7 linked regions of the Macaca fascicularis genome follow. The protein of the gene in region 5 purifies or fractionates together with the protein of the main gene of each other region. This does not show direct contact. Links are inferred from orthologs where the notes say so. Each region holds a gene or a part of one and is shown on either strand. Other genes may lie near its edges.

Evidence for each region.
Region 1: the proteins of MPHOSPH6 (region 5) and DIS3L purify together in Homo sapiens (affinity purification with mass spectrometry; 3 studies listed by BioGRID and IntAct, with this or other methods). This does not show direct contact. The link is inferred for Macaca fascicularis from reciprocal best matches to the Homo sapiens genes MPHOSPH6 and DIS3L.
Region 2: the proteins of MPHOSPH6 (region 5) and EXOSC7 purify together in Homo sapiens (affinity purification with mass spectrometry; 4 studies listed by BioGRID and IntAct, counting the BioPlex papers as one, with this or other methods). This does not show direct contact. The link is inferred for Macaca fascicularis from reciprocal best matches to the Homo sapiens genes MPHOSPH6 and EXOSC7.
Region 3: the proteins of MPHOSPH6 (region 5) and C1D purify together in Homo sapiens (co-immunoprecipitation; 3 studies listed by BioGRID and IntAct, counting the BioPlex papers as one, with this or other methods). This does not show direct contact. The link is inferred for Macaca fascicularis from reciprocal best matches to the Homo sapiens genes MPHOSPH6 and C1D.
Region 4: the proteins of MPHOSPH6 (region 5) and EXOSC9 purify together in Homo sapiens (affinity purification with mass spectrometry; 5 studies listed by BioGRID and IntAct, with this or other methods). This does not show direct contact. The link is inferred for Macaca fascicularis from reciprocal best matches to the Homo sapiens genes MPHOSPH6 and EXOSC9.
Region 6: the proteins of MPHOSPH6 (region 5) and EXOSC1 purify together in Homo sapiens (affinity purification with mass spectrometry; 5 studies listed by BioGRID and IntAct, counting the BioPlex papers as one, with this or other methods). This does not show direct contact. The link is inferred for Macaca fascicularis from reciprocal best matches to the Homo sapiens genes MPHOSPH6 and EXOSC1.
Region 7: the proteins of MPHOSPH6 (region 5) and EXOSC4 purify together in Homo sapiens (affinity purification with mass spectrometry; 7 studies listed by BioGRID and IntAct, with this or other methods). This does not show direct contact. The link is inferred for Macaca fascicularis from reciprocal best matches to the Homo sapiens genes MPHOSPH6 and EXOSC4.

The regions. Positions count from the first base shown.
Region 1 is NC_088381.1:42,990,574-42,993,224, reverse strand, and holds the end of DIS3L (DIS3-like exonuclease 1), read right to left. Parts: coding exon 2,565-2,651; intron 1,887-2,564; coding exon 1,712-1,886; intron 1,619-1,711; coding exon 1,310-1,618; 3' UTR 871-1,309; downstream 1-870. UniProt on the Homo sapiens protein: Catalytic component of the RNA exosome complex which has 3'->5' exoribonuclease activity and participates in a multitude of cellular RNA processing and degradation events.
Region 2 is NC_088376.1:107,885,149-107,889,052, forward strand, and holds part of EXOSC7 (exosome complex component RRP42), read left to right. Parts: intron 1-2,155; coding exon 2,156-2,257; intron 2,258-2,562; coding exon 2,563-2,657; intron 2,658-3,904. UniProt on the Homo sapiens protein: Non-catalytic component of the RNA exosome complex which has 3'->5' exoribonuclease activity and participates in a multitude of cellular RNA processing and degradation events.
Region 3 is NC_088387.1:53,857,176-53,861,752, reverse strand, and holds the start of C1D (nuclear nucleic acid-binding protein C1D), read right to left. Parts: upstream 3,171-4,577; 5' UTR 3,023-3,170; coding exon 2,987-3,022; exon of another isoform or gene 2,839-2,986; intron 1-2,838. UniProt on the Homo sapiens protein: Plays a role in the recruitment of the RNA exosome complex to pre-rRNA to mediate the 3'-5' end processing of the 5.8S rRNA; this function may include MPHOSPH6.
Region 4 is NC_088379.1:126,876,667-126,881,137, reverse strand, and holds the start of EXOSC9 (exosome complex component RRP45), read right to left. Parts: upstream 3,027-4,471; 5' UTR 2,943-3,026; coding exon 2,877-2,942; intron 2,544-2,876; coding exon 2,449-2,543; intron 1,700-2,448; coding exon 1,580-1,699; intron 1,459-1,579; coding exon 1,356-1,458; intron 1-1,355. UniProt on the Homo sapiens protein: Non-catalytic component of the RNA exosome complex which has 3'->5' exoribonuclease activity and participates in a multitude of cellular RNA processing and degradation events.
Region 5 is NC_088394.1:78,050,672-78,055,105, forward strand, and holds the start of MPHOSPH6 (M-phase phosphoprotein 6), read right to left. Parts: upstream 3,137-4,434; 5' UTR 3,135-3,136; coding exon 3,003-3,134; intron 2,714-3,002; exon of another isoform or gene 2,592-2,713; intron 905-2,591; exon of another isoform or gene 850-904; coding exon of another isoform or gene 847-849; intron 1-846. UniProt on the Homo sapiens protein: RNA-binding protein that associates with the RNA exosome complex. Involved in the 3'-processing of the 7S pre-RNA to the mature 5.8S rRNA and play a role in recruiting the RNA exosome complex to pre-rRNA; this function may include C1D.
Region 6 is NC_088383.1:106,397,268-106,401,861, forward strand, and holds the start of EXOSC1 (exosome complex component CSL4), read right to left. Parts: upstream 2,967-4,594; 5' UTR 2,945-2,966; coding exon 2,914-2,944; intron 2,807-2,913; coding exon 2,691-2,806; intron 276-2,690; coding exon 201-275; intron 1-200. UniProt on the Homo sapiens protein: Non-catalytic component of the RNA exosome complex which has 3'->5' exoribonuclease activity and participates in a multitude of cellular RNA processing and degradation events.
Region 7 is NC_088382.1:153,749,193-153,753,356, reverse strand, and holds EXOSC4 (exosome complex component RRP41), read right to left. Parts: upstream 2,626-4,164; 5' UTR 2,518-2,625; coding exon 2,347-2,517; exon of another isoform or gene 2,030-2,346; intron 1,316-2,029; coding exon 1,109-1,315; intron 1,018-1,108; coding exon 658-1,017; 3' UTR 610-657; downstream 1-609. UniProt on the Homo sapiens protein: Non-catalytic component of the RNA exosome complex which has 3'->5' exoribonuclease activity and participates in a multitude of cellular RNA processing and degradation events.

The sequences.
Region 1 (2,651 bases), on a different chromosome or scaffold from region 5:
GGGGTCAGGGGGTCGGTTTGTGGGCCTGCTGGGAACTGCCACGAGGATAGGGCAAGAGACATGTGCATTAGGAGGATTGTGGCTAACTGCAGCCAATAGGGGATCAGCTAGAAGATGGAGAGCAGTTTCAAGGTGCCACCAAATGCCTATAGAAACTGCTTCCTCAGGAGGGCCTGTTCAGGCTTCTGTCTACCCTCACAAACTATACTACTGAGAAAGAAGGGTTAATTTTTCTTTTTCTTTTTGAGACAGAGACTTACTCTGTCACCCAGGCTGGACAGCAGTGGCGCGATCTTGGCTCACTGCAACCTCCGCCTCCCAGGTTCAAGCAATTCTCTGCCTCAGCCTCCCGAGTAGCTGGGATTACAGGCGCCTGCCACCAAACAAGGCTATTTTGTATTTTTAGTAGAGATGGGGTTTCACCATGTTGGCCAGGATGGTCTCGATCTCCTGATGTTGTGATCCACCCATCTCGGCCTCCCAAAGTGCTGGGATTATAGGTGTGAGCCGCCATGCTTGGCCAAGAGTTAATTTTTCTAGTGGGGTGTTTGCTGGCAAAGTAACGAGTTTTCAACAAGGGGAAGGCCAATGCACCTCATCAAAGTGGGAGGGTGGGAAGGGAGGCCTGTGACAGAACTTTACCTGCACCTTACCACCTGCCCTGTGTCCTATTCCCAACTAGTATTGGAGACAGCAGGGAAGGACTGAGTCAAATATGAAATAGGAGTTTTAAGCAGAGAGGTGGACTCAGGACTAAGTCTTATTATCTGAAAGTGACTGAAAATTACCTGACAGATGTCAGAGGGGCCTATGATCCAAATGTAATTACTGGAAAAATAAAACATTTGAAAGAACTGATTGGAGACAAGATAACCAATAATTTTGGGTTTATTAAACTATTAGAAAGGGGCTAGCAATCTGCAGAGCCACCACTTACTGTCCACTCATTACTGAAAACTCAGTTTCCATAGTGACCTAATTATACTTTATTTAATGCAACTTCAATGAATGAGATAACTTTTTTTTGAGATGGAGTCTTGCTCTGCTGCCCAGGCTGGAATGCAGTGGTGTGATCTCAGTTCACTGCAACCTCTTCCTCCTGGGTTCAGGCAGTTCTCCTGCTTCCACCTCCCAAGTAGCTGGGACTACAGGCATGAGCCACCATGCCCGGCTGAGAACATTTTACATATATGTGAAATAGTTACCCAGTCCTGATCAACTAGAGCACTGAGTGACACACATTAAATGTTAAGTTTGAAAAGACTGTAAAACATTCACATATGACAGCTCTTAGTGAAGTAAGAGCCTTTCATATTCCATAATTGTTTGAAACATCCAGGAGAGCTAGGTCCCGTATCTCCTCTAGAAGTGTGTATAGGCTCCTTCCCTTTGTTTGGCAATATTCTTGATATTCTTCCTGAATGATGTTTACTTTGACCTCTTGGGCAAGCTGAGCTTCTTCCATAGATTTAGTTACTTCTTTCACTAACTCACTCTTCAGCAAAGGGGAGCTCTGATGAATAAGTTCTGTATTTGGTATCTTGTATGGTTTGTTACTAATTATTTCAAGTCTGATTGTATCAGAATGGCAACGTGAGGCCTGTACGGATATTCTTACCTAGCATAGAGAAGAAAATACATATTACTAAATCACATTATTTGTTCCTTACATTTTAAATATTAATAGTACTTAATAGAAACACAGACTTACGGTTACATGGTCAAACAAATGGAACGTAACAGATTCCCCATCTGTTGTAGTAGAGGTAATTTTGTTTTGAAATCGTTGAAGGGATCCTGGTTTCCATGCAGAACGGCTATCTGGGCCAGATGAGATGACTAAACCATCTTTATTTTTTAGATAAGCAGCACCTTTAATCCCAAACCTATATTATGACCAGAATATAAATCCAGAGACAATGTATTCTTAGTACACAGATCTTGTATGCTTATCTAGAATACTAGTTTTTCTCCTAGATTAAAAACAAATTACTTTTCCTGTGGTTTACCTCCAAGTATTTATTTCACCTTAGCAGATGGAAACAAAGTATTTTGTTAGATAAGAAAGACCCTAAAATGGACATAGATGTGTATATATATACACACATTCCAATCTTCACTTTATTTTTTTTGAGACAGAGTCTTGCTCTGTCACCCAGGCTGGAGTGCAATGGCACGATCTTGGCTCACTGCAACCTCTGCCTCCCGGGTTCAAGTGATTCTCCTGCCTCAGCCTCCCAGGTAGCTGGGATTTCAGGCACGCGTCACCACGCCCAGCTAATTTTTGTACTTTTAGTAGAGACGGGGTTTCACCATGTTGGCCAGGCTGGTCTCGAACTCCTGACCTCAGGTGATCTGCCCACCTTGGCCTCCCAAAGTGCTGGGATTATAGGCGTGAGCCACCCCTGGCCTCCAATCTTCACATTTATATACTGAATCATATGTTACATTATGTACATATAACTAGTTGCTTAAATATCTTAATAAATTGTATCTATGTACAGTTTGTGTTCTACACTTTTACCGATGATTTGTTATGCACCATTGCATTAGATGTAACATACCTGGGTATAAATACAAGCACACCATTTGTTCGAATTGAATAAATAACTCCATCAGATATGCAACGCTCCTCGGTGGCAGGGTCTTTG
Region 2 (3,904 bases), on a different chromosome or scaffold from region 5:
CGATTCTTTTTCTGAAAAAAACTGCTTTTGAAAAATGTTTACAAAGAATGAGAAGGAGCTCCATGAGCCAACGTGGAAAGATTTCCTGCATATATATATATATATATAGTTAAGTGTTAAAAAAAAAAAAAGTAAGAGTATCTATAGTATTCCACCTTTCATATAAGAAACAAGGGGATATTTAAAAATTCATGTATTTGCTTATTTGTGCAGAGAAAATACAAGAAAGATAAACCAGAAACTAAAGAGAAACCTGGGGTGAATGGGAAGAAAGGGGCATGAAAATAGCATAATACAGAGAAGAGGAGAGTGACATTTCTCTGAGCATACTTTTCTGAGTTTTGTCTCTTAGAACTATAGTGATAGCTCACAAACCCAGAAAGTAAGTAAGTAAAAGTAACCAGGATATAGGGGAACCCAAAATGGAATACAAAAATTTGCAAATGAAAAATAGCCAGGCATGGTGGTGCGCCTGTAATCCCAGCTACTTCAGAGGCTGAGGCAGGAGAATCGTTTGAACGCAGGTGGCGGAGGTTGCGGTGAGCCCTGCCATACTGCACTCCAGCCTGGGTGACAGAGCCATAGTCTAAAAAAAAAGTTACAAGTTACAAATGAGTCTGTGTTACAAGTGAATAATGTAACCACACTGAAGGGCATGTGGAAGAAAAGAACTCAAGTAACTGGAAAACAGTATTTTGGCTGAATACTATGAGGCTAAAGACAGAACTTTATACAAATGCTGTGCGCTGTTAGTAAATTTGTTTCTCACAGGGGTATGGATTAGAAGTTTGGAAACTATGTGTATGCTGAGATTGAACAAATATAGAAATGCATGGTAGATAATAAGAACCGGGTTTCTCCTTCTTTGAGAAAGAAGTTACAAATAAGAAAAGGAGGAAGGCTAGAATGAACCATGTGATGTTAGATTGGAATTAGCTATCAGTATGAACTTATGGCTTTTTAATAGATACGTAGATAGATACAGAATTACACGTAGATTTGGGGGGGTGGCGGGGGGGGGTGGTTAGTATACATACCTGTATTTTTTAGCTCTGTCTGCTAAGAAGTTCTGAAAGAAATAATATTCCAACAGCAATGAACTTAGAGCCTAGATCCTGGTTTTCAGTACCATTCCCCAATAAAAGCAACCAGGGCTTCTTGGAGAAAGGCTTGATCCCTAGGGCTGGACAGAGAAAACACAAGAGGATAGATATCTTGTGTTGCAGAAAGTATATAATTACTCACAAAAAGTTGGCAGCATGTTGAAAGAACACAAAAACTAACCCAAAGAAGCCCCCAGTGGCCGAATTTGGAACACTTTGAGCAGCAAAATAACTAATGATAGTAGTGGATTATAACCATAGCATAAAAGATACCAATGAGTTGTACTGATATAAGTAATTGAAGGAGCAAATAAATGGGCAGAAGGAACATAGACCTCCCTGAAAACCATCTTGTGCCAAAAGAGTCAGCAAACTTCCTGTAAAGGATTGGATAGTAAAGATTTGGGGCGTTATGGATCATCTCTCCGGCCCAACCACTCAGCTCTGCTTTTGTAGTGCAGAAGCAATCATAGACAATACCTAAACAAGTGGACATGGCTGTGTTCCAGTAAAACTACAAAAACAAGGTCCCTTAGTTTGTTGACCCTGTTCTAGAGACTGCCTCTTTAGAAGATTAGGTGTCTTTCCCTGTTTACACAGTAGATCTTGTTGAATTTTAGGGGTAGGAGGGCTTCAGTTGAGATGATTGTACCCTGTAGCTCTGACACATACACTACTTGGTGCAATTTAAGAATTGCAGATTTGGGGAGAGGTGGCTTATTTTGTCTCTTGTTCAGATCTTGTTTTTGTGTACATATTCTGTATAGTGGTATGTAGTGTAGATTTTGCAATCAGACACAACTGGCATGGAAAACTAGCTTTGTCTTCACTAGCTGTAGGACCTTGGACAAGTCGCTCAACTTCTCTGAGTTTCTATTTCCTCATATGTAAAATAGTAATGTGGTTAGCTACAAGGACAGAATTTTAGATGATCCACTAAGAGGAAAAGATATTCTGCATATATCTTCTCTAGGGGGAAAATGAGTGAGTCAGTTTAGGAGTCTAAATTGGTCTGGGGTGACAGCTATAGGATTGTGGTTGTTAACACCTAGGAAGACCTCCGCGTGGATGGCCGTGGCTGTGAGGACTACCGATGTGTTGAAGTGGAAACCGATGTGGTGTCCAACACCAGTGGGTCCGCCAGGGTCAAGCTGGTGAGTACTGTGACCATGGTTGAAGCCCAAGTGGAGAAATGAGTAGACACTAAGGAATGAGCTGCTGATGCCATCTGGCTTTTGGAATGCAGATTGCTTTTGGGGAAATCAAAGATCCAAGCCAAACTCAGGGAGGAGGTGTCTCCATATCTGAAAGACTGCTCACCTCCTCCAAAGACCACTTTCCAAGTCTTAGCACTGCTCCTAAAAGAGTCCCCCAGGGGTGTATGTCCAGAAGAGGAGGGAGGTGGTGGAGCGCCTGGCTGCCTACTCTGAGTGAGGACCCTTCTTGCATGTGTCTGCAGGGTCACACAGACATCTTGGTGGGCGTGAAAGCAGAAATGGGGACGCCGAAGCTGGAGAAACCAAATGAAGGCTACTTGGAGTTCTTTGTTGACTGGTCAGTACTATGCAGATATTTCTAAAGAAAAAATTCTAAAGAAAAATGATTTTAAAAATGAAGATTCAGAAAATGAACCTCTAGTTTCCTGTTGAACCCACTTTTATACTTATCATTCAGCCATCCAGCCGGCATTTGCTGACCTCCTCCTATGTGCCAGGTACATAGTCAGGACTCTTGGCTTGAGTCCTGCCCTAGTCTTAACCACCTGGCTATTGCTGGCCTTGTTTTCCCTGTCCAGTAAAGGAGGACATCTGCCAGGCAGCCTAGCGCATGATTGTGATGAGGGTCAAATGAAATGATTGTGTTATGGTGCTTTGAAAAATATCATACACAGTAAGGATCATTTGGTCTAAAATGTACTATTTCTCTTCCTATTCTAGTTCTGCAGAAAACTGTTCATGATTTGCTTGACAGATGAAGCCTAGGGTCAGCCAAGCAGCCTGACAGGTTGAGGAAGTGGCAGCTAGGCAGGCAGTATGGGTACTGAGAAGAGAGAGGGCTCTGTAGTGTCTGCAGCCAGCCTTGGGCCAGAATGTCACTTCCTTCTCTGGCCAGCTTTGTGATCTCAGGCTGGTTACTCAGTCTCACTGTGGCCAAATTTCTTTATCTAAAAAATGAGGATAATAAAGAGGAAATGAATAGAGTGAGTACTTAGCACAGTGACTGAGACTCCCAGTGGGCTTTCAATAAGTATTATTTTTCCTTATTTTGTCAGTAAGTTCAATAAGTATCATTAGCTCCACGTTCTAGGGGTTGGGGCTTTTTATTGGGTTGCTGGCCAGGTCCCGTCTTCTATCAGTTACCTTGCTTCTGGAAGTCAGGCCTTCTTGAAGTGGGTAAGGATCTCTGTGGGCTCATGCTGGGTGTAGGTATATAATGTTGACCCTGTATCAAGATCCCCGAGACCACCTCCACATTCAGAGATTTGCTGGACTTAGCATATAGTGATACTCACAGCTAAGGTTTATTATAGCAGTGAAAATACAGTAACTTATTTGTGACATTTCTGCCCAGGAAAGCCCATTAGAGACTCAGCACCCAAGATTTTTACTGGGGGCTGGTCACATAGACACTCGCTGCTTAATACATAATGAAGTTTTCTAAAGGAAAGCAAATGTTCAGCATAAATGATATTATTTGCACAATATAGGCACAATGGACTACCCCCATCAGTTTACTATTGACTGGGAATAGTCTGAGAGCCAGGTTCACAGATGGCAGCCAAGGGCCAACCCTGCAAACAG
Region 3 (4,577 bases), on a different chromosome or scaffold from region 5:
ATCCAAAGGTGTCAATCCTCACTTCACCCGATCCATCAGCTGCACTACTCTACTCTAAATTCCACAACACCAGACTCAAAATTGTCCTTGTCCCTCACTGGCTGCTCAGGCTGTCTCATTTGGTGGTTATTCCTCATTTTCCTAACTTGTTAATGTTAAAATGCCTAAGGACTCAGGCCTTGTGCCCCTTCTCTTTTCTGCCTACATTTACTCTTTTAACGACTGTCTCTGGTCTCACAACTTTAAATACCATCTGTTCACTGACAACTCTCAAATGTCTGTTTCCAGCAATGACCACTCTGAAGTCCGGAATGAACATACTTAACTGCCTACTCAACATCTCCGCTTAGATGACTAACAGACATTACAAACTTATCACCTCCTTAACTGAACTCCGAATCTTCCCACAAACCTGCCCCTCCCACAGTTTTCTATTTCTCAGTTAACGGCAATTTCATTCTTCTAGTTGCTCAAGCCCCAAACTTTGACAATAACCTTATTCTTACAATTCACTTTCAATCTGTAAGCAATTCTATTGGCTTTTCCTAGAAAATACATCTAAAATTAAACTGCTTCTCCATCTTCACTTCTTTCCAATTAAGATGTTATCATCTCATCTGAACTACAACACCTCCATGATTAGTCTCATGGTTTTCACGTACCCCACCCCACAACAAACTATTCTTAACACAGAAGCCACAGAAGATTCTATTAAAACCTAAGTCAGGCCAGGCGCAGTGGCTGACGCCTGTAATCCCAGCACTTTGGGAGGCCAAGACAGGCAGATCACCTGAGGTCAGAAGTTCAAGACCAGCCTGGCCAACATGGTGAAACCCCATTTCTACTAAAAATACAAAAAAAATTAGCCGGGCGTGGTGACACGTGCCTGTAATCCCAGCTACTTAGGAGGCTGAGGCAGGAGAATCGTTGGAACCCAGGAGGCGGAGGTTGCAGTGAGCTGAGATTGCACCACTGCACTCCAGCCTGGGCAACAGAGCCAGACTCCGAAAGAAAAGAAGTGGGTGGGGTGAGGTGGGGTGGGGCGGGGCGGGGCAGGGCAGGGCAGGAAAGGAAACAAAAGAAAACAAAAGAACAGACAATAAAGTAAAGTAAAACAAAATAAAACATAAAGTAAAATAAAATAAACCTAAGTCAGATCATGTCACTCCTCTGCTCTTACCTTTCCATTGGTTATTTACTCACTGGGCTATTCCTCAAGGTAAGATTCATGTCGAGGTACATTTTGAACACATCACTAACATAATGTCTTGTCATGTATTAGGTATTTAGCAACTATTTGTTAACTAACTAAAACCAACCAAAGTAACCTAAGACCTAATTTTGGAAACTCTTAATATCAGATTACAGTTTGAGCTTACAGATAATAGAAAGTCACCACATGGATCCAAACAAACATATGATCATGTACGTTCTGGGGCTCTTCCCATCTCTACACCAAATAATTATACACAGTTATGAACTAAGCTTGAGAATAAATCCAACATGATTGTGTTTTGGAACTTGAGAGCCACTTGCTGTTGCTGCACCAGAATTCTATCACTCGTAATGAATTACTGGAATGGCTTTTTTGCACTGCATTATCTCAGGAGAAAATAACAATGAAATGTACACACAAGTTCTCAATAAATATTGCTGTCTTGGGCAAACAGTGACTCCATGTTAGTATTGTCTGTGACTCTCCTTCAGTCTCACAGTACAATTCCTGAGTACATACAGACTTCTTCCTTTTCTAAAAAAGATATTAACATCTAAAAATAAATGTATCCAGAAGTCTAATAATAGAGGAGTATATAAATTATGAGGATATTGCTCAAGATTGAGATGAATAACTACATTAGATTAAATTTACTTCTATTCAGTGTTTAATTCAAAGCATTTCCAAAATTACAGCAATCAAGCAGCAAAATTACCTTCCAAAACATATGGAAGTGGCTTATTACAATCACCTCATTTCTTAAATAACAGTATATGGGGTTGCTGCATAGATTAAATAAATAATATAGATAAAAGCCATCAGAACAGGGCCTGGCTCAGCCCTCAATACATTAGATAGTATTTTACCAAAAGTGAAAGTTATCAAATACTCTAATCCATTGTGGACTATGTAGAGCTATGCTTGAAGGGTCAACTGTTTGGAAACAGTAGCTGAGATAATACATATGAAGAGCCATTTGGAAAGGTAAAAGCAGTTAAGAAAAAAAATTGCATTACTTCTGAACTGTGATACATACAACACAGCTAACTGAAGGCAGCTGTAGTATCTTTTGACTGAGAATTTTGTTTTATTTTGAAAAACCATTATTCACACTTATCATTATCTTTCAACAAAACAATGAGTTCTATCATTTCCACTAAACGCAAATACTTCTCTGTACTTCGACAGGGCTAATCTGTTAATTTTGAATCAAAAATACAGGGTTAAATAACTAAAAGTATAATTGGATTGTTTGTAACACAAAGGGTAAGTGCCTGAAGGGATGGATGCCCCATTTTCCATGTGATTATTACACATTGCCTGCCTGTATCAAAACATCTCGTGTACCCCATAAATATATACACCTACTATGTAACCACAAAAATTTTAAATTTAATTTTTTTAAAAATCACGGTTAAGTCTTGGTTCTGTCTACCATCAGACAGTACCAATGGGTTAATAAGTGGATAGCAGACATCTCATTGCGACAAATACGTCTGTATCAAGCCAAAACTGAATTGTATTCAGCAAACATGAAGACATTAAAGGTATTTTCAAGCAAGTTTTAGTTACACTGAACTTTCCCGGGTCATCAAGAAAAACTGCTCTCTTGGATTACCCACCACAGATTTCAGCTAAAGGTCGAAATTAGCCCACTATCTCAGACGGGCTAATACTGCAGCGGCAGGCAGTCTGTGAATGTGAATGATAAACGGAGCTAACACAGTAAAGTGACTCCCCTAGACGTCCCACTTTAGCCTCTCTCCTTACGCAAGATTTGAAGACAGCTGAAAATTGTGAAGTCATGTTTTTTTTGTTGTTGTTGTTTTTAATTTTTTCGTCTTCCAAGAGTTGAGAAGGGGGTGGTTAACAAACGAAGAAAAAGAGAAAGACCGGAGCAAGAGAGAGAAATGAGGGGCCGGGGTAAGCCAAAGCCTGCAAGCAGCCCCAAAACAAGCGGAAGTGGGGGACCTGCAGCAATGCTGCCCCAGCGAAGAGCTGTGAGACACTGCATTCCTGGAAGGCTATGCAGCCAAACTCCCATTCTCTCAGTCTGCCCAGAGGATTACAGGGGAATCCCAGGAGAGGAAAAGCGGAGTTAAACAGGAGGAGGAGAAAAACTGAAAGTACAACTTTGAAAAATACCTCAGGGCCTTCGACTACAGTCTCCGGAAAGCGGTCGGGCAACGATGACGACAATGACGCGCCGGCTGTGCCCGCGCCGAGGGGCGCTTTCCGATGATCTCACGCTGCTCGCCACGCCCCCGCTCCTTCGCTCTTCTCTAAAGGCAAATCTCAAAATGAGTAGCTCGGGGCCATGTTGTGGGAGAGGATTGGGGCGGCACTCTGGGAACCTTTGTCTACATTTGTACCCGGCCAACACTCAGCCCAAATACAGGTTGAGTGTATTTAACCAGGAAAGAAATCTTAGTTACTGAAACTTTGTATTTTTACTTTCCCGGGAGCTTTTCCAGGGCCCTCACTGTTACTACGCTTTTATTGTCTGCCTCAAGATCAGCGTCTTAGAGCAGCTTCCCAGATTATCCGTGGGGAAGAATGGGTTGTTTTTCCAATCTGTCAGTAAAAGATACTTCTATAATACAGTAAAAATGAATTAGTAGAAAAATGGGGAAAATATGTGCAAAATACAAGCCCAAATTTTTTATTATTAGTTTCAGTAAATGTAAAATTGCATTTCAACGTATGCAATCAGAAGAAACATAATAGAAAATAAAGGCATTAACAGAAACTGTACATATTGTTCGTTGAAAGTTTAGTATAAGCGATTGAGCATTGTCTTAACATTTGTAACTTGTCATTCCATGATCGTAATTTGATAAAAATTTATGCCTGAGTTGTCCATATATTAAATGCATGTAAAAGCATTTTGAACAAGCACCATGTATGTAATATTTAAAGTTTGGGGGAGGTCACAAGATGGCCGAATAGGAACAGCTCCAATCTGCAGCTCCCAGTGTGAGTGAGGCAGAAGACAGGTGATTTCTGCATTTCCAACTGAGGTACCAAGTTCATCTCACTAGGGCTTCTCAGACAGTGGGTGGAGCCCACAGAGCAGGGCGGGGCATGACCTCACCTGGGAAGCACAAGGGGTCCGGGAATTCCCTTTCCTGGCAAAGGGAAACCGTGATAGACCATAACTGGAAAATCAGTACACTCCCACCCTAATACTGCATTTTTCCAGCGGTCTTAGCAAACGGCACACCAGGAGATTATATCCCGTGCCAGGATCGGAGGGTCCCACACCCACAGAGCCTTGCTCACTGCTAGCACAGCAGTCTGAGATCGAACTGCAAGGCAGCAGCGAGGCTCAGGGAGGGACATCTGCCATTACTGTGGCTTG
Region 4 (4,471 bases), on a different chromosome or scaffold from region 5:
GTCGTTTAATCATAGAACACATACTTTAAATAGACAGAACTACTCTAATGTTTAATACTAAGATTTTCCTAACCTCAAATCTAATTACATTTTTATCATGTCTGTTAAAAACCACAAACTCTAGGTCAGGCACAGTGGCATTCACCTGTAATCCCAGCACTTTGGGAGGCGAAGATGGGAGAATTGCTTGAGCCTAGGAGTTCGAGACCAGCCTGGGCAACACAGCAAGACCCTATCTCTACGAAAAAAAAAAAGTTTTTTAGTTAGCTGGGTGGAGTGGCATGCGCCTGTAGTCCTAGCTATTCGGGAGGCTAAGGAGAGAGGATCCCTTGAGCCCAGGAGTTTAAGGTTACAGTGAGCTATAATAACACCACTGCACTCCTGCCTGGATGAAAGTGTCACTGTCCCTAACAGAAAATAATGAATATTTTCAAAAATTAAAAAACGTTAACCTTTTAGGTTTTGTGATATTTTTAGTAACTTTACAAGTAATGCAAATAGGAAGTATTATACTTAGGTATGGAATATGGAAAGCTAAATGACTTCTCTGGAATAAAAATGCTTGTCAAAATACCCTAATCAAGAATCAAATTCTGGCCAGGCACAGTAGCTCACGCCTATAATCCCAGCACTTTGGGAGGCCAAGGTGGGTGGATCACTTGAGGTCTGGAGTTCAAGACCAGTCTGATGGTGAAACTCTGTCTCTACTAAAAATACAAAAATTAGCCGGGTGTGGTGGCAGACGCCTGTAGTTCCAGCTGCTCAGAAAGCTGAGTGGGAGAATTGCTTGAACAGGGGAGGCAGAGGATGCAGTGAGCTGAGATTATACCACTGCACTCCAGTCTGGGCAACAGAGTGAGACTCTGTCTCAAAAAAAAAAAAAAAAAGAATAAAATTCTAATATCCTAATGCAGCACAATTTATTGGGACTAAGATTTTCAAAATTATCCCTGCCACTGACATGGTGTGGCCCTGTGTAACTCGATAAACCTATCCAAATGAAGGATTTCTTCTGTTCTTGAGTTCTGCATGAAAAAGGAAAACTACCTGCTTCTATGAACACATGCAGATAAGAAAATGAGATTATATGAAAAAGCCACAAATTCTTTGAATAAAATATTTTTACACAAAAATCTAAGTTGCTATTTTCACCCTTTTAGAATAATGCTTTTTATCCCTTCAGAGAGATAGAGGTGGCACAAAGTTCTAAGGGTATCACTCAAGAACATCTGAAGTGAAGTGAATCAGTACAAAACTTGAGTTGACTAAAGTTCTGAGAATAAAAGCTCAGACACCGGGATCCATGAATCAACAGTATTCATCCTAAGATTAAGAATTATGGGCATATTCCCCACCTTTTCACCAGCAACAACACAGAGAGATTCAGTGTCTATACACTTCGAATTTCTTAGACATCTTTCCAAGAGTCGATTCAACTTCACCAAGAGATCTGACTGCCTATAATAAGAAAATAGGAATGGACTACTGTCATGAAATATAACACCAGGTATTAAAACAAAAGCTCATTGCTGTTAGGTTCTCCTATGACTAAAGCAGCTTAAGAAAAAGATTTAAATACCTGCCAGGTTCGAAAGCTGGAGCAGCCATCTGAGAGAGTTCAAGGTTAAAAAAAAGAATACCTTCTGTTGCCCTATTGAGTTTTGGAGACACAAGTTCACAGGAAACCTGTCCAAGAACTCTGCAAAGATAAAGTACAAAGTATTAACTAAATAGACTCTCCTTCCAAAAAAAAAAAAAATCTGAAACAGATCACAAGTTTCAATCTTAATGTGAGTAATATCATAGTAAGCCAGATAAATCATAGAAAGTAAAAAATATATGTAAAGTATAATATACACAGAAATAAAACATAAATTGGTGCAACTAAAAACACGACAGAAAAAACATCTCTCTTCTTATTACAATGTTTACTATTCCACAGATTGTTCTAAAAAATCAATGACCTTTACTTCTAAAGCAAGTATTTATTGATACAAGATGGCATGAAAACTTGAGATTTAAGTGTTTTCACATGCCACAGTTCACCACCATTAACTGACCAAATAGCCTTACAACTTTCAAATGAATATTTGAAAACCTAACTTTCATGTCACTCGAAAAACAGGAAATCAGGATGTACACTTAATGACAAGATGCTCAAGATCTCTGTATTAGTGTGAGAAACAAATTCGATATGAGCACTACTGGTTGTCTACACGATTTACAGAAGTCAGAACTATGTGATAGGTGACAGAAAATACGTTTATGATTAAAAAGTTCAAGTGTGACCACAAAATCAAAAAATCTTGCATAAAAAATACTTATTTTTGTCAGCTAAACAAAGAATACTGTGCAGACTTCTTAGCTGCTTTATAAACAACCGAGTCAATAAGGTCTTTTTTCAAACTTCTCCCTTTTCAATGTGTTATCTCATTTAAATCCTGTTACCTTGTTTTGCCAAGTTCCACAATGCAGCATCCGTAATCTGTTCCAAATGAGATCCTGATGTTCCTATAATCATAGGTTTGTCTGCCATCCAGCCGCTGTTAAGCACAAATTCATTCATTCATTTATTCCTTCAACAAGTATGTCTTAAGCAACTACTTTTTGTCTGGCCCTGGGCTAAGCACTTGGGGGAAAGTGGAATCCTAACCACCCCGCCCATACAAGAAAGTGGAAACTACAGCACGGACAACTGCTGGGGTGACTAGAGACTTGAAAAGAACCTGTCGAAAAAAAATAAAGCCTGGGGAATGGGGTGAACGTGCCGGTCGTTCCCCTAATGGCTCCCCCGGCCCAGGCGGGCCAGGTATGAGTCCACACCTTGAGACCCGGGCGCCCATGCAGCGCGCAGTTCTGCGGGGACCAAACCATACCTTCTTTTCTTCGATGGCACGGAGTAGGAAGCGGCGTTCGCAGTTTGAGAGTGGCGTTTCCTTCATGGTATTGGGTCACCGGCCCCACAGGCACCAGAATCCGCGGGAAAAACGGAAACTGACTTTTCCTTACGCGCCGCTGCCGGTCCCGAGGCGCAGGAAAATTTCGTCATCAAAACGCGGCGGCAGGAAATAGGCAAGGGCTTGGGCAGTCGCTACTGCGCAGACTCAAAGCGTGATTGGGGCGGGCCAGCGGTCAGCAAGAAGCCAGTGCGGCTTAGGGAGGGCGTTTCTGAACGTGAAATTGCGTTTCTTTTCTCATAAAATGCGGAGGAGAAAAGGATACTCAAAATAACCATCAGAGTGGTAGAAATTAATATCAGTAGACCGCTCTCACACTTCACCGTTCGCTCAGTCCTCTTGCGGGGTGGAGACTAGAGAGATACTACTGCAATTTCACAGATGAGTTGACATTGGCCCCTAGAAAGCCGCAGATGCAGGATTTGGAGCATATTAAATGAACAAACACTGGAATGAGGCGGCATAAGGGTTGCGGGAGAAAGTTAAGATGGTGAAATGGGATGTTTTTGTGGCCAAAGGTGAAATTTTGTGGGATCTGAGAAGTTGATGAGAATGGAGAACTTTCGCACGTAATAACCAATGATGTTACTACTTCTGTGGGCTGAAACTAAATGTACCGTTTATTTCTCATCCCCTCTCCAGTTATTTTAAGTCGATAGACTTATTTTTATGGTCACAGAGAAACCTTAGCTGGGCCATGCTGCCAACCAATCAGCTTTTTTGGAGAGGCAGTATCAAATAGTACTTTTAAAAAGTGTTCACTGCCAGGGTTCAAATTTTAAGTCTGTCGTTAACTACTATAACCCTGGGCAAATTAACCTGTGTGCTTCACATTACTCACCTGCAAAAAAAAAAAAAAGAGGGCGGCGGGGAGTGAGAAACCTATTTATTATGAGGAATAAAATGAGTGAATAGATACATAAAATGTTTAGAACGGTGCCTGGCATGGAGTAAGCACTATTTAAGTGTTTGCATATTATTATTTTGTTTCCTTTTGCTTTAGAGGTGGTAGGCACTGTAACTCCTACGCAGTCTCTGGCTTCTTTGGTAGCTTCTCACACGTTATTTCTACCAGTGATACATTTTAGTCTCACTTTGTACCACTTGCAATCCATGTACTCAATAAATACTTGAAGAGGGCCTACTCTGTCCAAGAATAATTTAAGTGCTGGAGAAACAGGGTAGACAAGATCCTTTCTCTCAAGGAATTTACATTCTTTTTGGAAAGACAAAAAAACCCTAAACAAATAGAACAATTTCACACAATGGTAAGTGCTCTCTGAGAATAGGAATGCTATCTTAATAGGGGTAGTTGCAGGAACAGGTGACTTTGTAGAGCTGACATTTAAGTAAAGTAAATCTTTGGTGTTGAGCAGGAGCACCCTTGATGCCATCTGGAGAGGAAAAGTGTTTCAAGCAGAAAGAGTAACATATGCAAAAACTGAAATGGGATGAGCTCCACATGGTCTGGAGACAGAAATTGTGAAGAAGGAGGAAAGTGGACAGAAATGATT
Region 5 (4,434 bases):
TCTGAATGTAAATGAACCTAGACTTGTCTTATTTTTCCAGACTCTCTTTCTGGGATGGTTTTTTTTAAGTGCATATACCTCATTTCATCACTAATATGCCTCGTGGTAAAACTCATCAATACCACCCAACTGCCCTTATTTCTCCTATTTAGTCATGTACCTATTCCTTTGGTATACAAAATAGCCATATACATATGTTCTGTACACACAGAAAGGATAGAACTCCCTGTGAATATGAATCAAGCACCTCCAGACTTAGGTAGAAGTTCGATTCTCCTACTCTAGGGCATTTCAGAACACACTCCAAAACCAGTGGGGACTCACAGCAGGCAACAGCACAATATGGTCCTCAGGCTAGATGTCCGTTGTTGTTGATACAGCCATGGTCATCCTGTCCCAAACAACACTGGCAGAGCTGAGTAGTTGTAACAGAGACTGTCTGGCTCATAAGCCCAAAATATTTATTATATGGTCTTTTACAGAAAGCTTGCCAAGCCCTGTTCTAAAAGTCTAACAGTACTAAAATCACAAATAAGCACCCTTTCTACAACCATTCCATACTGGAAGACCTTCCATCCACATCTTTCTTTTTCTGCTTCCCATCGGGATCATCCTGCAATGGCTGACCAAGTCAGAGGCCTTCAAGTGAGTCAGGATTAAATCCTCAACCCTCTCATACTTGCCCTAAAAAGTGGTCCCCAGGGATGGGTTTCCTGGAAGACAATTTTTCCATGGGTGGTGGAGAGGGGAGGGGTAGATGGTTTAGGGATGATTCAAGTGCATTACATTTATTGCGCACTTTGTTTCTATTATTATAATATGTAACGAAATAATTATACAACTCACCATAATGTAGAATCAGTGGAAGCCCTGAGCTTGTTTTCCTGAAACTAGACAGTCTCATCTGTGTGTGATGGGAGACAACGACAGATCATCAGGTATTAGATTCTCATAAGTAGAGCTCAAGGTAGATCCTTCATAGGTGCAGTTCACGGTAGGGTTTTTGATCCTAGGAGAATCTAGGATTCTGCCACTGATCTGGCAGGAGGCGGAGCTCAGGTGGTAATGCAAGCTATGGGGAGCAGCTGTAAATATAGATGAAGCTTCACTCGCTTGCTGCCTGCTGCTCGCCTCCTGTTGAGCAGCCCGTTCCTAACAGGTCATGGACTGGTGCTGCTCCGTGGCCTAGTGGTTGGGGACCCATGTTATATAGGACTTAGCTCTGGTTAAGGCACCCTAAGTGCAGCTGTTCCATGCCTTCTCACAGTATACTCTTTTCTATCAGTATAGATAGTGTCTCCTGCTATCTTGCCAGTAAGTTTTTTCTCATCAATGACCAAAACTGCTAAACCAAATACAGAATCTGGGTGATCTTTTTCCTTCTCCTTTGCTTCCAATGTCCAGTTGCGTCTCCCCATTTGGTGGGAGTGGACACTTGTTTTAAGTTAATTTCTTCCTTCTTAGTTGCAACTCAGATATTTAGTTTGAGCCTGAGTCACCCAGTACATCATCTGGCTTATTCCAAGAGCTAAAACAACTGCTAAAATCTTTTCAATATCTGCTTGGTCAGTTCACTCCACTTCTCTGAAATTAATGTTATTACAAATCATAAAATCAAAAGCAAACTCTGTTCAGTAAAGATTCAAATTTTCCTAATATGCATGAAAGTGCTTGACAAACTCTAAGTTAGATGTAATTTGTCCTGCATCCTCATTCACCCATTCATTCCTAATTCCATCCTAGCTCAACTCCATTCAAATCTTGCCCATGTAATGTTTACTCTCTTTTTTTTTTGAGACAGGGTCTCCCTCTGTCACCCAGGCTGGAGTGCAGTGGCACCATCTCAGCTCTCTGCAGCCTCGATCTCCCAGGCTCAAGTGATCCTCCCACTTCAGCCTCCCAAATAGCTGGGACTACAGGTGCGTGCCACAAGGCCCAACGAATATTTTGTATCTTTTGTAGAGATGAGGTTTCACCATGTTGCCCAGGCTGGTCTTAAAACACCTGGGCTTAAGCGATTTGTCTACCTCAGCCTCTCAAAGTGCTGAGATTACAGGCATGAACCACTGCGAATGGCCTCTCTCTCCAATCTTTCAAAACATTATGAACGCTTCCTTCCTTCTTTTGGAAATTCGACCTCTTTAAACATGACATGTAACAGTTTGCTACCCTCTATAAGTAGTGCTCAGTGACAGGCATCACAGAGTAAGTAACACAGAGCCAGGGTTCTGGAGCAAGACTGCCTGAGTTCCCGTCCTGTCTACACTACTTATTAGCTGTGCGACTTTGAGTAAGTTACTTATTTCTGTTTCAGTTGCCTTAACTGTAAAAAGAGAGTTATTGCCTGTAGTCACCTCAAAGTGTCATTATGTGAATTGCACAGGTTAATATACGCAAACCCCTTAAAACATTGTCTAGTACTATAAATAGTTGCTATTTTTTTATACTGTTCCCCGTGTCAATAGCTTTCCATTGCTCACAAAATAAAGGAAAATATCCTTAATCTGGCCTCAAATTTCCTGCACGTTGTGACCACTGCCTACTCTGCAACCCCATTTCTTAGTACTTGCCTTCCAGACATACTGAATTACCTCTCATTCTTGGAAATCTCCATGGTTTTCTTTTTCTTTCTTGCCTCGTGGACTTCTGAACTCAGGTTTCTCCTAGTTTAGGACGCTGTGCCTCCCACCCTCCCAGGAACCTAAAGGGACCACTACCCCGCGAGAAGCTGGGTGAGTTCCCAGGGCTCCGGCGCTTCTACCCTCACTGCACTTGGTAAGCTGTACCCTGACTGCTTGCTCCTGTGTATGCGAGCTCCCATCCACCCGTGGGCCTCCTGAGAGTCGGCCTAATTCGTAACCCGGTTCCCAGTAAACAGTGCAGACCAGGCGCTAAGTGAATGAATGAGCACGAGAGCTGGAAGCCCTCTGAGGCCCCTCTGGTGTCCCTCGTTCGCCCGCCGCCTCGGCCCTGGCCAGGTCGGAACGATCGGGTGCCCCTACCGCCCGGCATGGCTCTCTCAGTGTCCCCGCACCTTCATGCGCAGCAGATTCTTGGACAACTTTGTCTTCCGCTCGGCCGCCATGGTGGCTTCCGCCCAGCGCCGCACTCCGGCCGCGAGCCTCACTGCACATGCGCGGAGCCGCGTTCGCAGCTGCGTCGCTCTCGTAAAGCGCGCCGCCCCGCTCCGCCCCGCGGCCCCGCCGCTGCGTGTCGCGCGCCGGCGCGGCCACTCAGCGGGCGCTCTGGTGACTGAGAGGCTGGGGTAAGCGCGCGGCGCGGTGGCGCGGGGATGAGCGCGGCAGATCCCAAAAAGGCCAAAGTCAGAGGAGGATCCAGAGCCTGGCTTCCCCGAGCCGGGGGCCGCCTTCCCGGGACGTCGGCCTGGCCCCCTCGGGGACCCATCCTCGCTCAGGGACTCCCTTCCTCAGAGACTCCCTTCAGACTCAGTAGTCCTCGCCAGCCTCACAGGTTTGCGTCACGCGTGCCACCCGCCTGGGTCTGGTTACCCACGTGTATTGTTTTCCTAACGTGGATGGCGGGCTTCCTGTGTTCTGGGTCCCTGTGCAGGGGCCAGGTCGTTTGCTCTTCACCAGGACCCTACGAGTTGCTGCTTTCCTTACAGCAGCCCTGAGTCCCGGGGAGCGTGGCGGGGGCCACCCCAGGCGGGCTGGCTTCATCCCCGGGCTGCTGCCGGTGCGTGTCTGGCCGAGTGATCCCTGCTAAACAGAAGAATCTGAAGAAACTGCAAGGGATGGAGGCAGGCATGGGTGCCAAAGACACCTGAATGAGAAGAAGGCTTGGTTTTGATCTAAAGAATTGAAAAGACCAGCCTGGGCAACATAGTGAGACCCTATCTCTACCAAAAAAAAAAAAAAAAAAAATAGGTGGGTGTGGTGGCACGGACCTGTGGTCTCCATTACTTGGGAGGCTGAGGCTGGAAAATCACTGGAACCCGGGAGGTCGAGGCTGCAGTGAGCTGAGATCCCACCACTGGACACCACCTTGGGCTATAGAGCAAGCCTTTGTTTCAAAAACAAAACAAAAAAGAATTTTAAAAACCACTGAAAATAGAGTGGCATTCATACCCTGGTGTTTAATGCTCTGGGTACCAACTAAACACGTTTTCAAAAATCATTCCCAGGTCCGACGCTTTGGAACACCCTCAAGCTAATAGCATTTCAGCTGATAGCATAGATTCTATGTCAGATTCTTGACCTGGTCACCTTATGGGTAATTAGTTCGCTTAATCTCCATAAGAACCGGAAAGAAGGTATTGTCATCGTGTTGTTAGGGATTCTGAGACACAGAGCGGGTAAGGGACTTGGTGGAATTCACACAGCTAATCCATGTTAGAGCTGAAATTCAAACACCGATTTGGATGTTAAAAGCCCTTGAGGTTTTCCCAGGAGTAAATAAAATCATTGTAATGTA
Region 6 (4,594 bases), on a different chromosome or scaffold from region 5:
CTGGGATTATAGGCGTGAGCCACTGCGCCCAGCCTGCCTTGGCCTCTTAAAGTGTAAGAATTACCAGTGTGAGCCATTGTGCCCCGCCAGAAATACATTTATGTAGCTTGTGGCTATCATACTGGACACTGCAGTTCTGGCATGGTCATGATTTCAGCACTGAATGGGCATTCTAAGCATGGAAGTTAGGACAAACTTACCTTACAGGTTACAATAGCTCCGACATCTGGCAGTAACTGGGACTCTGTTTCTCTTACTACAGACACCACAGGAAGCTACGGAGGGAAAAAGAAAAAACTGAAATGTCCTGGCTAACTCTTGGGTCAAAGCATTTGTGTCTTGAGAGTAATATAGGAATGTCTTGGTACACAGGTGAGAGCTGGAGTATGCATTCATTTATAGGCCAGAGCAGAAGGCCTTAGAAATTTTAGGAAATAGGAGGACCAGGGGGCTACAGAATGCTGCTAGAAGATGTAAACCTCTAAACTTCTTTTTTTGTTGTTGTCGTTGGAGATGGAGTCTTGCTCTGTTGCCCAGGCTGGAGTGCAGTGGCATATTCTCGGCTCACTGCAAGCTCCACCTCCCGGGTTCATGCCATTCTCCAGCCTCAGCCTCCCAAGTAGCTGAGACTACAGGCACCTGCCACCACGCCCGGCTAATTTTTTTTGTAGTAAATCCCTAAACTTCCAATAAGTTTTCTGGTGATTCTCTCAGAATTTCTTGGTATACAACTATATTGCCTATAATCATTGACAATTTTACTTTTTTTGGTTTTTTTTTTGAGATGGAGTTTCACTCTTGTTGCCCAGAGTGGAGTGCAATGGCGCCATCTCGGTTCACTGCAACCTCCACCTCCTGGGTTCAAGTGATTCTCCTGCCTCAGCCTCCCGAGTAGTTGGGATTACAGACGCCTGCCACCATGCTCGGGTAATTTTTTGTATTTTTAGTAGAGATGGGGTTTCACCATGTTGGTCAGACTGGTCTCGAACACCTGACCTCAGGTGATCAACCCACCTTGGCTTCCCAAAGTGCTGGGATTACAGGCGTGAGCCACTACATCTGGCTGACAATTTTATTCTTTCCTCCAAAGTTATACTGCTTCTTTCTGTTTCTTATTTTACTGCACAGGCTGAAATTTCCACAGAAATGTTACAAATAGTAGCTACACTTGTTTTAAGTGAATACTTGCAGAGTTTTCTCTTTGAGCATGGTATTGGCTGTTAGTATGAGACAGATATTTTGAGCCTCATCTTTTAACAATCTCTCCGTTGCTTACAATGCTTCAGCTCTCCTGGCCTTCTTTCAGTTTCCCCAACTTACTAAATTCTTCCCACTTTCAGATCTCTCTTCAACCTATTCTTTTTGCCAGAATTGCACTCTCTCCACCCACCTGACTCTAACCTACTCTTTAGATGATTCAGCTTCAATGTCACTTCTGCTGACTAGGATGGATTTGCCTGTTACATGTTCTTAAGGTGCCCTGTAATATTCTTTCAAAGCAGCCACCACATGTGTAACCATATGCTTATTTGAGCATTTATTTGTTTACAATTTGTGTCTGTGTCCTTTGATAGCAGAAACCAAGTCAGCGCTGTGCCTGACACATGAAAATACTCAAGTGGTATCTATCAAATGAACAAACTCAGGACTGTTAAGGACATTCCCAACAATGACTGAATAGAAAGCCCCTTGAGTCAGACGGCTTAAGTTACTTACTCAAAGCAGAATCGAGGTCAAGTTAGCCAGAACCTAACGGTTCTAATTCTGAATCCTCTTTCTACTGTGCTCCTTCAAATATTGCTTATATGATCCTGAGCTAATCCTGGATCAATCTCTAAAACTAGAAAGGTAGGTATTACGCATTCAACAAACATTTATTGAGGAGCTGCTTTGTGCTAGATACTGATGGTATGGTGGTAGCACCTGCACTTCGTGGAACTTAGATTTAAGCAAGGGAGAAGTCTAGTGGGAAACATACCTGAGTGTCTAATCATATGCTGACATAAGTGCTTGGAAGAAAAGGGACAGAGTTTTTTGTAAGTCTTTAACAAAACAAACAAAAACAAAACATCCCACAAAACTCCTTTCCTCAATTAGTGGGTCCAGAAGGGCTTCTCTGAGGTGATAATACAGAAACTAACGGAGGTAGGAATTAAACAGGCCTAAGAAGACAGAAGCGTTCCAGATAGATGGCATGTTACAAAGGCTCTGTAGCAGGAGAAAGCTTGGCACATTACCGACACTGAAAGAAGCTAGTGTGTTACAAATTTTTTTAAAAGGGCAAGCCAAAACTGTGATTATAACTTTTACAAATAGAAAAGACTGTATGATTAGATTGCGTCAGTGAGGTGGAGATAGTGGCACTAGATAAAGCCGGAGAGGTAAGCAACATTCATACAGTATACAACGCACTGCTGGGCTGAGCTGGGCTGGGTTACTGAGTTCGCATCTGCTTTTGTCCCAACCTCCCTCCCCGAGGGTCAGCAGCACAACCAAGCGAGATCAACACAACTAGTGTGTGGTGGCTAAGTGCACAACAGCGGCGATACGGCTAGAAGAAACTAAGAGACCAACATTGTACCACTAAGGCTCTAAAGACGCGTCCGCAGTGCCCATGCCTAAGGACTGGAACTCAAGGGCAGCCTAAGGGAAAAACAGAGAGAGAGGAGACGGCATGCCGCTTCCTTTACCGCGCCGTTCTCGCTGCTCTTCATCAGGCAGCCGGCAAGCGACGAAAAGATGTAGCCGTGGCGGGTGTAGGTGCCGCTGCCCGGGCTGCCCTCCTCCAAGTTACACAGACGTTCGCCTGCAGAAAAAATGCTGCATCGGTCATGGGCCCCCAGAAACTGCAGGCCGTCCAGGCTTCTTGCTTCGGCCCCTATCCAGGACTCTGTACGGGAAGCGCTCACTTACCGGGAATACAGTATCTCACAGGTGGTGCCATGATTGCCGCTGTCCCAAAACCCGGATGAAAACGAAATCGATTTCTCATTGGCCAAACCCAGGCACAGTTCCGCAGTAAGATACGCGTCAATTGGTGTTCTTTATCCTTGCGTGTAAACTCCATTTCCCAGGTTACCCCGGGACAAATCCGGGGGCGGAACTTCAGCGCTCCATGCTTGCGCCTGCGCGTGTGGTTGAGGATGGGCTGGCGGCAGGTCCGGGTCCGCTGGGTGGCACTGCAGGCGGCGGGCCATGGTGGTTTGGATTGAGCCGGGCCCGGCCGGGGCGCCGAGTCGGAGGCGGTGGCAGTGAGCGGCGGCAGAGGCTGCGGGGCTCGGTTTGGCTGACTGGGGAGTCGGCAGGCGGCAGGTAAGGGCGAAGCCTCGGCCCTTGCTCCCCATCCTAGTCCCTTTTTCTGGGTCGGGCAATGCCCTGGGGCCTTGTCTTGAGTCCGGGTTCCTGCTCTCTCCTCGCCCTGCCCTGCGGGGCTGCGCCCTCCTCAGCCGGAGCGCACCTTGCGAGCAACCGTTACGTTCAGAGCAGGAAGGAAGGAGGTCAAGCGACCCAACTCGTCTGTTTCACAGATGTGGAACCTCAGATTCAGAGACCGGGTTTGACTTGTCCAAAATCTTCAAGATAGAGCCCAAACTGGAACCCGCGATTTTTGACTTCCAGTCCATCGCAGTTTCACCTCGCGGCTGTCATTGAGAAATAAAACCTTTTCCCGGTTTTTGTTTTGTTTTGTTTTTGAAAAGGAGTCTCGCTCTTTGGCCAGGCTGGAGTGCAGTGGCGCGATCTCTGCGCACTGCAACCTCCGCCTCCTGGCATCAAGCGATTCTCCTGCCTCAGCCTCCCGCGCAGCTGGGACTACAGGCGCGCGCCATCACGCCCAGCTAATTTTTGTATTTTCAGTAGAGACGGGGTTTCACTATGTTGGCCAGGATGGTCTCGATCTCTTGAGCCGCCCGCCTCAGCCTCCCAAAGTGCAGGAATTACAGGTGATTCCTCCCAAAGTGAGCCACCGCGCCCGGCCTTTTCCCGGTTTTTTAACTGTAGCTTCCAGTCCTGCGGTCCGATCCCCTTCGCGGCCTCCCATCCCCACTTAAGTAAGCTTTCTCAGGTTGAAAAAGCCGAACTCTGGTTGTGTGGGCCCGTCATCAAAAGATAAGCAGCCCCAAAATAAAGTTGCTACTTTTTCTTCTCAGCGTGTTACCCCAGAAGGGAGGTCTGCACGTGAATAAAATGCTACTCTTTATTGATGTCTGGTATCTCCTACTTGAGATTGCAAACATCCCGAGAGCAGCGTCCTTGTCCAGATGACATTGCCCACGACTTTGATCTCAGTTCACCTGACTTCTGATGGCTTTGCCGCCTGTCCCTCCCTGTCCCCTCAGTCGACTTTCCCCTTGGGAAACAGATGGTGACTTAGAGCCATTGGAAGAGGGAAGTGCTGTGGCCTGCAATCTCCTCCTGTCTGGTGGCAGACGACCACTATGGCCTGTGACTGTTACTGAGGGATGAGAGTACTCGGGCTTGTGCTTGGGGTGGTAGTAAAGCTGCGCTTTGCTCTGTTTCCTCCCCTGTTCACTGAGATTACCCCCTTCTTCCCTACACACATATTTTTGAATTTTGCTTTACCTCTATTTCCTGA
Region 7 (4,164 bases), on a different chromosome or scaffold from region 5:
ATGTGCCACCACCCCCAGCTAATTTTGTATTTTTCGTAGAGACGGGGTTTCACCATGTTGGCCAGGATGGTCTCAAATTCCTGACCTGAAGCAATCCGCCTGCCTCAGCCTCTCAAAGTTCTGGGATTACAGGTGTGAGCCACCATGCCTGGCTGTTGCATTTTTTAGAGCCCAAGGTAAGCAGCAGGAAAAGCCCAAGGGGCTCCAGGCCATAGTCCAGAGGCCATGGGACATGGCCCCCACATCTCTAGGTTGGGTACTCAGAGCCAGCTGAGTTCTCCCTCAGCCCTTTGCTCAGGGCCCCGGATGTGCCAGAGTAAGGGTAACAGATTCCTCAGTCCAATGACCTGCTCATCTTGCCAGGCCCTGCCTCCTGCTCAGCTGCCTTGAGTCCTTACTGGGACATGTTGCTTTTTCCACCCAGGACCTCCCCCACAGCAACCCCCTAATCCACTGTTCTTTTCAGGGTTTGAATTAGGCTACACAGAGATAGGCAGTTCATGTGTGGGCGAGGGGCCCTGGTCATCCCCAGGAGCCAGCACCAGACCAGGCTCTGCCAGGCTTCACATGGCTCTGAAGTGCTATTGGGTGATTAACGTACAGTGAGGGTTGTGTGGGCAGAGGAGGGTTTTATTCTGGACATGGGTGGCTGGGTGGTCAGTCCCCCAGCAAGATAGAGGCCTCACGCACATGCTGCCTGACCACTCTGTCCAAGAGGGTGTGCACATCTCGAGCAGCCTGGGCAGCAGCCTCCAACACCCGCTCCAGGTGGTCCTCGTGCAGCCGGGCATCCATCTCAAGCAGCGCAATCTGTCCTGAGGCTGGCAGCAGGGCCAGGGCCAGCTGGGGGCCACCAGCTGCTTCCTCCACATGGCTGAGGTCCGCCAGGGCTGTGCCGTCCACAAAGCCAGCTGAGCACGCACACACAAAGTCTCTCATGGGTATCCCAGCATCCAGCACTGCCAGTGTGGCCGCATTCACACAAGCTGCATAGGTCCCACCATCTGCCTGTAGCACCTGCAGGGACCCCAGGGTGTGAGTCTATCAGACTCTCTCCCCAACCCCATCACACCCACCCCTCCCTGGATTGACACTGCAGCCGGCTCACCTGCACATAGATATCAATCTGGGAACGTGGGTGCAGCTGTGTAAGGATGGCTGCCTCGAAAGTCTGGCGGAGCTGCAGGCCCATCTCACAGGACTTCCGGTCCCCATGTGGCCGTCGCTTGCGCTCACCTGTGCTGAAGGTCGCTGAACTATATTGACAGTTCACTAGGGCCCTGTCCGGCAGGGCTCGAGCCCGGGAACCCCGGATCTGGAAGAGGACGGACACATGAGCCAGGCCCACTCCTTCCAGCTCACACGCCACTGTCCTCTGTGGGTCTGCCTCTCCCTCCACTTTCAATGCCTCAGCAAGGGGCAACTACATTACCTCCAAAACAAAGCCCCCTGTTTTGCACTGTCTTGCATGTGTTGCCCTCTGGCATCTTTTAATTGGCTTCCTTGTGCCCATCCTTGCCCCATTCCCTGCCAACCCAAGTTTACAAACATCAAGGCTGATTCTGTCTCACCTTCACACTCAAATCCTAATTACCTTACAAAGGTTTCACATTACATATGAAATAAAATCCCAAATCATTTCCCTGGTCTACAAAACCCTAATTCCTCACCTCCCCGGGAACTCTCAACCTTATTTAGAGTTATCCCCTCTTTCCCCACCAGCAGTCTTTCTGTTATGCATGAGTGCCTTGCTTGTTTTCACCACCGTGGTCTTCGCCCTCCTGGTTCCCTCCGCCTGGAAAGCAGAGCTCCTACCCTCATGCGCTAAACAAACACTCTTTCAATACCTTCACTGGCCAGGCACAGTTACAGCGCTGGAAACACAGCAATGAAACCAGAGAGTTTTATGTAGTTTCTGTCCTTAGGAAGCTTATGTTCTAGCGAGGAAACGGGAAAATGCTTAAGCAAAATAGGCATTTGAGATTGTAGATGCACAAAAGACAAGGGTTTATTGTAGGGAGAGAAGTACCGCATGGATAAAGCCGTCTGAGAAGGAGTGACGTCGGAGTAGAGCTGAGAGGAGAGGGAGCGAGTGGGGGAGTGCCTGGCACGTTGAAGAGCCGCAAAGAGGAGGGAGAGCGCAGGCACAGAGACCGATGAGAAAGGCAGGACCACCGCGCAGCACACTAAAGACTTGCGTTTACTCCGAGTGAGATGCAGTGCTGAGCATCGGCTGTGTAGACTGAGGCGCGCCGGCCGCACCTCTCAAGTCCCCGAACCTGTGCTCAGCCCGGCTGCCCCGCAGATCCCGCGGTCACGCGATTCCCATCCCGCACGCCCACTCGCCTCGTGCGGGCCGTAGACCACCGCCAGCGCCTTGGTGTTGCCCTGCTCGATGTAGGCCGAGCCGTCAGCCTGCGCGAACACGCCCATCCGAGCCTGGATCTTGCGCAGCTCCCCGGCGCGCCGACCGTCCACCCGGTAGCCCTGGTCCGACAAGAGCTCCAGCCCCGCCATGCTGCCCGGCCGCCAGCTCCGCTCTCTGCCTAGTTCTCTGATTCGCGGGAGAACTACAGCGCCCTGCGGCTCCGACCTCCCCAAATCTACGGTTTCCGGCGGTCCGCTATCACTTCCGGTTCCGGGGAGCTACAGCTCCCCGCGGTCCCGACCTCCCTGGATCTACGGTTTCCGGCGGTCCGCTGTCACTTCCGGTCCCGGAGAACTGGAGTTCCTCGCGGCACCGACCTCCCTGGATCTACGGTTTCTGGCGGTTCGGCTTCACTTCTGTCTCCGGGGAACTGCGGTGGCGCTGTCGGGGAAGCAGCGGTTGAGCCCGCAGCCGTTCCCGGAGCTGTGTCCCGGGTGCCAGGAGGTGGGCGCCCGCCGAAGGAGAAATTCCCGTCACGCCCTCGGGACCAGTGGTGCCTACATTCAGCCCTTCCCCGCGCCCCAAGTGTGGAAGTGGAAGGATGAACCCAGTGGGTTGCGACACTGACAGGAGAAGGCATAGAGCGGTGCTAGAAAAGTGACCAGGCTGGTGTCCCAGGATGGTCCACACCTGGCACCTCTCCAGTCCTCTCATGCCCTCCCTTTACACCGGGCTTCCACACTGCAGTCGAGTGGGCCTCCCTTTTCCTTTTGAGGTTGCAGATTTCCTCATCCTTTCCAGAGAGGGGTTGTGTGTCTGTTTATCTCTTGCCACTTAACCTCAGCGGCTTCAAATAGCAATCATTCTATTATTATGTCCTGCAGTCTTGGGTTATCTAGGCTCAGCTAGGTAGTTTGCACGTAGGCTCTCTCCTACAGTTGCTGCCAGATGGTGGCTGGGGCTGGAGCCATCCTAAAGCTTTCTCTTTCACATCTTTGGTGGCTGATGCTGGTGGCTGGCCAGGACCTCATCTGTGGCTGTCAGGCAGCACACCTACCTGTGGCTTCTCCATGCTTCCTTGCAATATGGCAGCTGGGTTCCAAGGGTAGCCTTCCAGGACAATGAGATGGACAACATGTGCATGATATTTTTAGAACCTAGCCTCAGAAGTCACATAGTGTCCCTCCTGCCAGACTCTGTGGGTCAAGGCAGTCAGACACATCTACCCAGGCTTAAGGGATGGGGACAGGGACCCCACCCTTCAGTGAGAGGAGTGTCAATATTAGACTGTAGGAACAGCAGGTGGGCTGGGGAAATGCAGTCTGCTGCAGGGGCCCAAGTTCAGCATCCCCTTAGAGGTGGTTATGCTCTCCTGAAAGACTGAGAGGCATGAGAATGAGTGAGCAAGCCACAGCCCTGCTGCTGCAGCTGGTATGAGGCCATGATAGGCCACTATCCTCTGCCACTGGCCACCACCGATTCCCCACCCTTGGCTCTGCAGCCAGACACTGCGTACTGTGGAGCAGCCCAGGCCCTTCTCCCCTTGCAGTCTGAGCTCTTCCTGTCCCTGTTCTTACTGGGTCATTTTGTTTGTTTTGTTTTTTTGAGATGGAGTCTCACTCTGTCACCCAGGCTGGAGTGCTGTGGCACAGTATCAGCGCACTGCTCCCTCCACCTCCTGGGTCCAAGTGATTCTTGTATCTCAGCCTCCCAAGTAGCTGGGAAGCTGGGATTACAGGCACCTGCCACTATGCCTGGGGAAGGTTTTTGGTTTTTTTTTTTTTTTTTTTTTTTTG